3 linked regions of the Saccharomyces cerevisiae S288C genome follow. Changing the gene in region 3 together with the main gene of any one other region gives a genetic interaction. Each region holds a gene or a part of one and is shown on either strand. Other genes may lie near its edges. The genes, in order: BIT2, ATC1 and CSS3.

Region 1 (3,877 bases), on a different chromosome or scaffold from region 3:
GCAGTTTCATCAAATAAGAATAGTATTATTAAAAATTGGCCGGACCAAATATCTAGAAATCCGTTACTCTTCCGTTAAACGAATAATCGCCGTGTCTCAACGGGTCCTGCTTGGGACCCCCAACTTCACCAGTCTTGGGGTTAACATCACCTTCGAATTCAGGTATGGTCTTGGAAAATTCAGGCGAGAATGACCCAATATCGTTTTTGGTTAAAAGCGGTGAATTCAAACTCTCCTTTGTACGATCGCCGGTGGCCTGCGCATTATACTGATCTATTGCCTCTTGCGATGTGGCAATCCTCTGAAGTCTTTCGAACTCTTCCTGCTCTTCTCTTGGCAGCTTGGGAGGGCCGGGGATCCTTTCAGTAGTTATTTTTCGGGTGGCCATATTAAATGGTCGTCCACGTAGTAGATTTAAGGCTCCCGTGCGAGGATACCGATAACCTGTGCTTTTGATGGCGCACAACATTAGTTCTTCTTTTTATTATTTGGTTCTTTCTGACTCTTTAGCAAGTTAATATGATCTGCACTTTCCCCATTGGCCCCTTTATAGGGCGGAAAAGAGCATCTGTTTTTCCGGATTCTTGGAACAAGAAAAAGGAAATACACCTATCTATATGCCACTATTGTATATTACTAAATAAAATATTTAATTATATACTCATGCGTATGCCCTCAAGAAGTTCACCAATAATTCTTTGGTTTCTGCTGTTACCTTTTATGGTATTCAGGATCCCAAAACACTGCAGCAGCGTCAGTTTATCTTCCTCTGTGACGCCGTTCTGTTCTTCCTCGCTGAAAATATATCTTTGAAAACTCTTACTGGCACCGTCATTTGTATGTAGGAAGCTTTCGTAATACGGAAGAATGATGGAGTCTCTAAAACACTTTAATAAAAGGACATCAATTGACGGTGCGTACCTTGAAGGTTCAGATAGATATCCGTCAAGCCAGTAGTTACTATTTTTTTGGAAGCTTTTCTCGAAGGGCAGTAACACTGCCATCATGTCGTAGTAAACCTGTTGGTAAAACACCTTCCAGATTATGCCGACTCTTTTCAAAGCCGTATTTACGGTATCCTCATTGGCATAATTGAACACAATCTGGTTCTCTAAAATGTAAAGTGAAGTGGTAATGAATTCCTCGATTTCGGCCAAAAACCTTGAGTGCGTTACGGCAGCCTTGGTTTGTGTTTTCAAAGTGATATAAAATTCCAGCAGCCGGTCAATATCTTCTATTTTTGCTGGCAATTGCCATACCCTCTTGTTTTTAAATAGCTCCACAACTATGCTGCAGTATATACCCCAGATATTCCCCTCCAGAACAAATAACTCCTGTACGGTGAAGCTTTTATAGTTTGCTATCAAGGATGGCAAGTTTTTCAGTAAATCATGTAGTAAAGAAACATTAGTCGCGTCGAAAGCATCATCTTGGATCAGCGATAGAGCTGTATCATTAGGGTTGTTGTTAATGCTAGGGTTAAAGGAATATACAGATTTTCCAGAGTCAATAAGGCCTCCAGTAGAAGTATGGATAAACTGTACGGGTGACCTATGTTTACCATATGAAGAATGCAGAAATTTACTGAATGGGCTGGGAACTACGGGTTCAACGTCGTCTTTACCAATGGAATTATGCGGCTTGTAGGGTAAAAGCTTTTTTGCCATTTTGCTAAAGACATTACTGCCTTTGTTTGAATGAGAATGTCCTGTAGACAGTGAAGATTGTAAACTGTTCACACTCATATTAGATTTCGTATGAAACAATTTAGAGCCACTCCTACTTATGTTGTTACTACTTGTGCCGGTAATAACAGTGCCGTAGTTTTTTGACCCGCTCCTGCTTCGATTTCTCATATTATCTTTTGAATTGGTGAAGATGGACAGTCGCCTTTTATTGCCCCTTGAGTTGGAAGAAAATAAACTATCATTAGACGTGGTGTTCCCCTCCATTCGGTTACTACTTGATGAACCTATTTCGGAGTGACCATCGTTATTCTCCGTGCCTTGGCTGTACTCCTCTTCAATCGAATCCGTCGAGCGCCTTGCATTGGAACCATCATGGAATATAGATTGAAACCCCACCTGTGACCATCTAGGAGCGGCATCATGAGGAGATTTGGATGTTTTTAGATGCACATCTTCGTCGGGATGTGTCAGCGCTTGCGGTACTATATCAGAAGAAACACTATAAACTCTAGCTGGTTTGCGATTAGTTGCTTTTATGTTCGGGTTCGTGACGCTCAGTGAGCCTGAGGTAGCACTTCTTTTACGATTTAGGTCTGTTGCCATTGCTTGACTCTGTAGTTTAAGACTCGCCTAGCCACTTATGCTTATTGTGGTTTGTATTTTTTATTTACTGTCTTCTATCTTTCTCCCTTTAATTTTGACCTTATTTTAAAGCCCGCAAAGATCGCTGAAAAATTGCTAGTAAAGGTCGCATGCAAAATGGATAAAGTGCTCTTGTCAAATTATTTCAACACCTTCATTCGCAGTATAGTGGTATATTGGATTGGGTAAAGGAAAACAGGCGACACCAATATTGGTTTAAGCTAGTAGCGTATGCAGCTCTATCCAGGCATTAAAATTGGTTCACCTATTTCTGATAGTAGTTTTTTTTTTTCCAATCGTAAATTTTTTCTTCAATTTCGCGATGAGCTACAAAATAATAGTAGTGCAATCTGTATATTACTTTTCAAGTATCTAACTCATGCAAGTTAGGAGTTCCATAGCGGATATTTCACTATGTTTGATCCTCTCGATTTGTACACCCCTGATGACATCCAGGTTGAGGCTTTACAGTTCAATCTAGCAGAGAGAGAGCCAAAAGATCCTTGCTCACCGCAACGTGACGAAATATTAACGGCTGTAGATGAAGAAGAGAGTGACGACGATGACACCATTATCGATAATCTGGATCTGCCCTCCGTGAAGTATGCTCCGCCAGAAGTTATCCTTTGTATACTAATACTTCTGAAGCCCGATAGACAAGTAAACTTCAATCAGGAGACAGGGAAGAACAAATCTGTACTGGAGGTTTGCAAGAGTCATGGGCTGGAACCCGATCTGCTGAAAAGACTTTTGACTTGGTATACAGAAGAATGGCCTAACAAGAGGTTAAACTCGTTGGAAAAGATATGCAATAAAATCCCAATGCTGAGATTTACAGTATCCAAAGAACTACTGTTGGGCTACTATACTAGTGTATTGAAAAAATACAATAATAGTTGCGGATTGAATGAGGAAATCATACAAGAACTTCTTAAGGAATTGAGCTCAAGGATATCCGAAAACTGTGGGAGAACGGCCCAACCATCCATAGTAAGATATTTTGAATTAAGAAATCTAAGCACTTCCATACCGCTTCATGAACCCTCTTTAACGGCCGATAATCTTGGTTGGAAAACATGGGGATCATCTTTAATACTTTCACAATTAGTCGTAGATCACCTGGATTACCTACATACCACTAATGTGAACATGTTAGCGAACAGCGACATCAAACAGATTAAAGTATTAGAATTAGGAGCGGGCACTGGTTTAGTAGGACTTTCATGGGCCTTAAAATGGAAAGAACTTTATGGAACTGAAAATATAGAAATCTTCGTGACGGATTTACCCGAGATTGTGACGAATTTGAAGAAAAATGTGTCATTAAATAATTTAGGAGATTTCGTTCAAGCAGAGATATTAGATTGGACTAATCCTCACGATTTTATAGATAAATTTGGACATGAAAATGAATTTGACGTCATATTGATCGCCGACCCGATATATTCGCCTCAGCATCCGGAATGGGTAGTTAACATGATATCGAAGTTTTTGGCGGCATCAGGGACCTGTCACCTAGAAATACCTTTAAGGGCAAAATACGCCAA
Region 2 (3,237 bases), on a different chromosome or scaffold from region 3:
TTAGTAAACTGGGAAATGACCCTAATGGGTTTGATATTAGGAGGCTAGAGCAATCTTTAGCCCATTCAGGTGTTATAGAAGACACATTCGAAATAAGAAAGCATTCATCTGTGAATACGGAACGCTTCGCTTCTACAAATCATGATAGAAGTGAAAGTGATAGTGATTTAGATATATAACTAAATAACCATTACCTCCCTACTAAAAATGACTCGATGGTCTTTTAAGCCATACGCATGAGCGAAAATGGTTCCTCCTGTTCAAACTAAATCGGTTATTCGAGCGTACCGTTGAAAATTTAATAAAACGTTTTGGGGGATTTATAGAAAGTTAAATACGAAATATGCGTATAGTAATGTTTATACATGAAACTCAAAAATGCGACTGTGTTCCTTAAAATAATAAAAGTTGAGTACGAATAACGATGACTGAGAAAGGTAGTGTATATTGTATATAAAATTGGACCATCTTTGTAGTAAAGACAAAAAAACCAATAAATGCAGATAAACTTAGCAGAACTAACTCTAAATTTAACTTTCCTTGGATGATTTTTCATTGAGTTTTTGAGTAAGTTCTAGGATTTGTTGCTTCAAGTCATCATTCTCAACCAATAAATGTGCTCTGTGAATTTCACTATCCTTTAAAGAGTCCATAGATTTTTTCAATTGAATACAAGATCTCGCGTAACCTTCTTTAATAAAATTGAAATTGAGCAGCAATTTATGAGTATTAATTATTCTTGCCTTCATTTCCGAAATTTGACTTATTGTAAACTCATTTGTGAACTTAGCAGGCTTCGTTGCAGATACAATGTCTTGTCTTGCAGAATCTATTTTAGATGTTATATCAGTAATCATGGATTCTATTTTTAGGTGGGATTCATTAGCGTCGGATGAAGCTAACGAAGATGAAGGTGATAGGGATGCAGGGGATAACATGGGTTCATTTGTGGTTTTCAAAAGGGATTTTTTCTTCTTGATGGTGGGTTTATCTATCTTATAGTTCTTTTGTTCTTTATCAGGTTTATGTACGTTATTTTGGTTTGTACTTTTATCTAATGATGCCTTGCCAGTATAACCCTTTTTATGCCTATCGAGATCAATACCAACTAGGCTATCATTAGCACTTCTCTGCATTTCCAAAAGTGTGCTCGAATCGGTGTTGTGTTCATCGTTAAATAAAGATTCCAATGTTAGGTGTTTCTGAGAAGCGATGTCGGAATCAAAAATATCAGTGCAGTCTAAATTATCCATCATAACTTGTTCGAGATCCTTTCCCAAATCTAAACTCTGCCCATCAATCTTTACTGTATCATCAAAATGATTATTTGCCTGAGTGAGCAGCCGATGCAACGTATGTTCTATATTGGCATCATCTGTTAAATCTGTATTCGGATTGGACTGATTCGTGTTCATTATCTTCACGTTTTCCCTATCACAACCTTAGTGTAACTTGAACCAACAAAATTTAAGATGTCAAAACTTCAATCAAGTATTGAGCTCTTCAATAGGGCACTAGCCCTCTGAAATTTTTCATTGAAAATACCGTACCGCATGTTTTTTGGAAATTTTTCATCTCATCGCTAAAGTGGAAAAAAAAAATTCTAGAAACTGAAAAAAAAGAGAAAAAAAAATGACAGAAAATATTTGATTTATATCAAGATGACACGAGTTTGCAAAAAGAGAAAGACACGCTATAGAAACTATTTTGGCAAATTAATCTATTCACTTATTTTTGAGTTTCTGAGTGTAGTTATATGCAAAGAGGCTATAAATCCTTATTTTTTTGAGAAAAAATGCTTGAGAAAAAATGCTTGAGAAAAGATGTATTTTTTTTTATTCGTTAGCATTTTTCCAGATATCGTTGAACATTGCTAGAATACTATCAAACCCGACTTTCCCCTTCACCGCGTTATCACTAAAACGTTTAACGCCCCAGTTTTCTACTTTCTCACTAAAGGTTTTGGTCGGAACACCAGACAGAAACTTTGCATCCTGCTTGAAAAGAGTCACATTCGATGGATTTTTCGGATGAGGAACATAACGTACGGTTTCGTAACACTTCAAAATATGCGGGAAGGTCATATTGCAACTCCTCATAGTTAAAGATCTGTCCCTTCGATCAACGGTGGAGACCTCTCGCACGTATGCTAAATTAGTGTTCCCCACTAAAATGGACATCCAGTGAGGGGTGTTCTGACGTATGGTTATCAGCCGTTCTGTAAGAAGTACATCGCCATGTTCTTTGAGCTCTCGGCGGAGCACATCGACTGCAATAACGTGTGTGGAGATCTTGTTTGGATATTTCATCCAGTTCGCCGTGGTGACTTTCTCCCATGGGTAATCGAATTCATAAGATTTTTGAAATGATTTCATTATTAATATATAAGCTCGAGAGATATATGACTAATAGAAATATTTACTTGAACTTGTCGATTAGAGAAAAGAAAATGCGTTGCTTGGACCGCAGATCCCACTTATTGTTTTCTTGCCAAATGTAACAAGATCTATAGGTTTATGAACTTTCTTCGAAAATCTCATTACTTTTTTTGATAAATAAACGGGCCCCTTGCGGACAAAGCCCTGAAAATTGAAGATTTACGCAGTATCACGTAAACCCAAAAAAAAAAATACAATATCGGTTAAAGTGCTGTTTTAATTTAGAATATATGTTTTACTAATCTATTTATAATCAAGTATATGTGTAATTTGGCTTTTTCCCTTGCCTTGTGCTTAACCTAGTTTTTTTCAGGTGATTATTTTACCGGGCATTACCTCCTAATACCCATCCTCCCATGTTATCCATATCATCTTCGCCGTATAAATCCAGGGTGACGGCTTTTTTATAAACGGGTTTGGTGACTGTAGAATTCGAGTTTGAGTATTTCACTCCTTCAGTTGTTACATCTGTAAAGCCTGCACTATCATTGTCATCATAGAGATTTAGATTGAAATTATTGGAATTTATACCAGTATTATTGTCGTTATCATTATCATTATAGTTATCATTGTCTGGGTGATTCGGTACTATTGTGCTATTAGTCGAATCGTTATCGTCCTCGCGTTCTTTGGGGAGAGATCCAGACATGATTTGGTCTTCTTCCTCGAGATTTAGTAACCTATGACTGGAATTGTTACTATTTTTAATGCTATTCGCCATCAACGCATCTGTAGGCGTTCTGGACTTGAAGTTTAGTGCCAAACCATTCTTTTCCATGTTACCATTCATCAAGGTGCT
Region 3 (2,793 bases):
GCAATCTTTTTGGAATTGAAATGTCAGAGGGATGATTCTGACGATAGACATTTTTCTGATGAACTGTTGCGTACGCACGCATAAAAACAGTATAACTTTAGGTGGTAGCGGTAGTGTCGACTTTTATTGGAATGAGAATTAACTATCATATATCGACTAGTATCCATAGTACGTGTATATTATCGTATACAACGTAAGAAAGACATAAATATTGAGAAACAGTCAACGATTTTAGTAGAGGTTGAAACGCGAGGCTTGATAATTTCATGGGATAATGAATGACGGTATATAAAATGAAAGAAGATGTAATAATATTCATTATCATTCAAACTTTATCTCAGCCCATCCTCATCTTTTTCAGTACTGTATGTGAACTCGTCCACAAACACCGTATAGCTACGTCCTCTTTCATTTTCAGGTATGTATCAGCTTCTTGCATCACGCCACCACTAGCACAACGAAAGTATACAATACAATGTCATTAACCCTAGATGCTGTTGTTCCTCGATGTTGTGTATACATACATTAACTCGAAAGTGCGATGTTAATGATGTCCCAGTGCTATATAATAAATCTACAAACTAAAAAATCTTGATCACATCAACCAAAAATGTATCTTACTGCTAAATGTGTCATAAAAGGGTTCCAGTATCCTTACTACACCATTATATAGAAGACTCTTTATAATTTCTTCCGTCAGAATAATTACTTATCAATAGATTGTTTAACGTAGGAGGAGTTGGATGAGCGCAAGCATTTGTTGAGTTATTCGCAACTGGATGAACATAATGTCCTTCTTCATCATATACACGCATTACCAAATCCATTATATCTGTACAATAATCAGTCTCAGAATTATATGGCTCAGGTCCGTTATAAGTCGATAGATCTAGGTTACTGTACTCATAAGAATCTGTAATAGCCTCCAACTCAACTAAGGTATCCCTATAAATCAAAGATTGCTGATCGCCGGGTTCAAACCGTCCCGTTCTAAGTGTTCTACCACTTTTATCAGAATAAATATCATAGTAAGATGCTTGGAATAGCCAGCATATTTGATTGTTTGTCATATTAGTTGGCAAGTTGAAAAATACTTGGTAACCGCTGGTGATATCAACATATGCGGAGCATAATGAGTACAATTGAGAAAAAATGCAAAATAAACCAAATAAGGGAACCATTTTTTACTAAGCCTCTCTACCCTTTTAAAAATGGTTTTGACTTCAAACGCTTAGGAAGCAAACATGCTACTGCTATTTTTTGTCCAAAATTTTTATCCTTTATAGTTAATGTTTTTAGATATTGCGCGGATCCATTTAAAAGCAATTTTAGTTTGGTTACATAATGTTCAGACATGTATTTTAAAAGGTTAAGCGGCGTGCCTTAAAGCATTTTACTCCCGAGTTTGATTGACTCGCTTATGTTCATAGGTATATTAAACAAGAATTATGGAGAAAACAGTCTTTAACGTGTATTTTTAAATCTATATACATAAACCGTAGGACGCGGCATTCGACTGCTTTGATAAGAATTCAAAAGTTAGTGTCCGGAAATCTATTTTTAGTAAAAGTAATAATGTTATTTGTACAGAGTATTGCAGAAGTTCTCTTTTAGAGTGTTATGAATTCATGAAATCGAATCTATAGCTTGCAATATAATCAATGCCATAATACTACTGTTGAAATAGAGAATTTGGTGAATAATTGGATAATTGTTAGGATTTTCATTATTATTGAAGGCTATAATATTAGGTATGCAGGATATGCTAGAAGTTCTCCTCAGATATATAGCAATTCATGAAGGATCGTCGATTATTCTATAGAATAGTATTATTACTTCACTTTCCATTTTATATGTTGTGATTCATTATCTTATTACATTCCTAATTCTTGAGTGTCAGCTTTCACTAAATTTCATGGCTGTTTCTCTATCTTTATGTCGCCTTCACTTATTTCTACACTCCTCAAGATTAAGTATCTAATTTTTGTAGGAAAACGACACTGCAAAGAGTGGATCAATATATAATAACATGTTTTAAATAAACGTCTACTTATGATGGAAAACATTAACTTGTGAGTTAGGATTTTTTGTATATGAGATATTTTAAAGAAAATTTAGTTCCAAAGGAGAAAATGACTTGCACAAAAATGACATGGGCAAAATACCTAATATTAAATGAGCTCTATCTACAATCCGTGCAGCTATACATACTTTCACGCTTGTTATACATTAATCAGCGAACCATTATAAGTATGGGGCCACTAATATTTCATATATTCTCTGATCTGAGACTGTTGGAGTCGATTTCTCGCACAATCAGCACTGGTTAAAATTTCGTGGGGTTACTGCTTCTTTTAAGTCGGTCAATGTTTTCTTCATTCTTTCGAACTTTGAATATTTTTTATGACGTCAATTATAAGAAGTATGAAAGTCAGGTTAGCAACAGCTAAAACTAAATAATAAAGGGCTCAAGCAGGCTTACGGCAGGTGGTGATTATATTTACACTACTAATTTTTTTTAATTCGTTTACGCTCTAGTAAAAGTTCTTCGCAACATTTTTTTTTATATTTCTTTATAAAAACTACGGGAAATGACAGGTGCGAATAATCTCATTGATTTTTGTATTGTCAAGCCCATTTAAGACTATAATATTGCTGAAATAAACGTAACAAACGTATGGATATTCACTTAGTTAGAAAAGAAAAATAAAATAAAACTAATTCGAACTTTTTGTTGTTTTTTATTTCAGACAACAATATTATACTGTTACACGCCATTATTGATTACTACTT

What was found.
Region 1: mutations in CSS3 (region 3) and BIT2 together harm fitness more than expected from each alone (negative genetic interaction), as found in Saccharomyces cerevisiae (2 studies listed by BioGRID).
Region 2: mutations in CSS3 (region 3) and ATC1 together harm fitness more than expected from each alone (negative genetic interaction), as found in Saccharomyces cerevisiae (2 studies listed by BioGRID).

The regions. Positions count from the first base shown.
Region 1 is NC_001134.8:742,108-745,984, forward strand, and holds BIT2 (Bit2p), read right to left. Parts: upstream 2,292-3,877; coding exon 654-2,291; downstream 1-653. Other genes in the region: SDH8 (Sdh8p), read right to left, coding at 53-469; EFM2 (S-adenosylmethionine-dependent methyltransferase), read left to right, coding at 2,745-3,877.
Region 2 is NC_001136.10:830,099-833,335, forward strand, and holds ATC1 (Atc1p), read right to left. Parts: upstream 1,416-3,237; coding exon 531-1,415; downstream 1-530. Other genes in the region: PLP1 (Plp1p), read left to right, coding at 1-179; UPS3 (Ups3p), read right to left, coding at 1,836-2,375; SND1 (Snd1p), read right to left, coding at 2,761-3,237. UniProt on the Saccharomyces cerevisiae protein: Involved in cation homeostasis and in the regulation of the cation stress signaling cascades. Also involved in bipolar budding.
Region 3 is NC_001147.6:16,616-19,408, forward strand, and holds CSS3 (Css3p), read right to left. Parts: upstream 1,182-2,793; coding exon 666-1,181; downstream 1-665.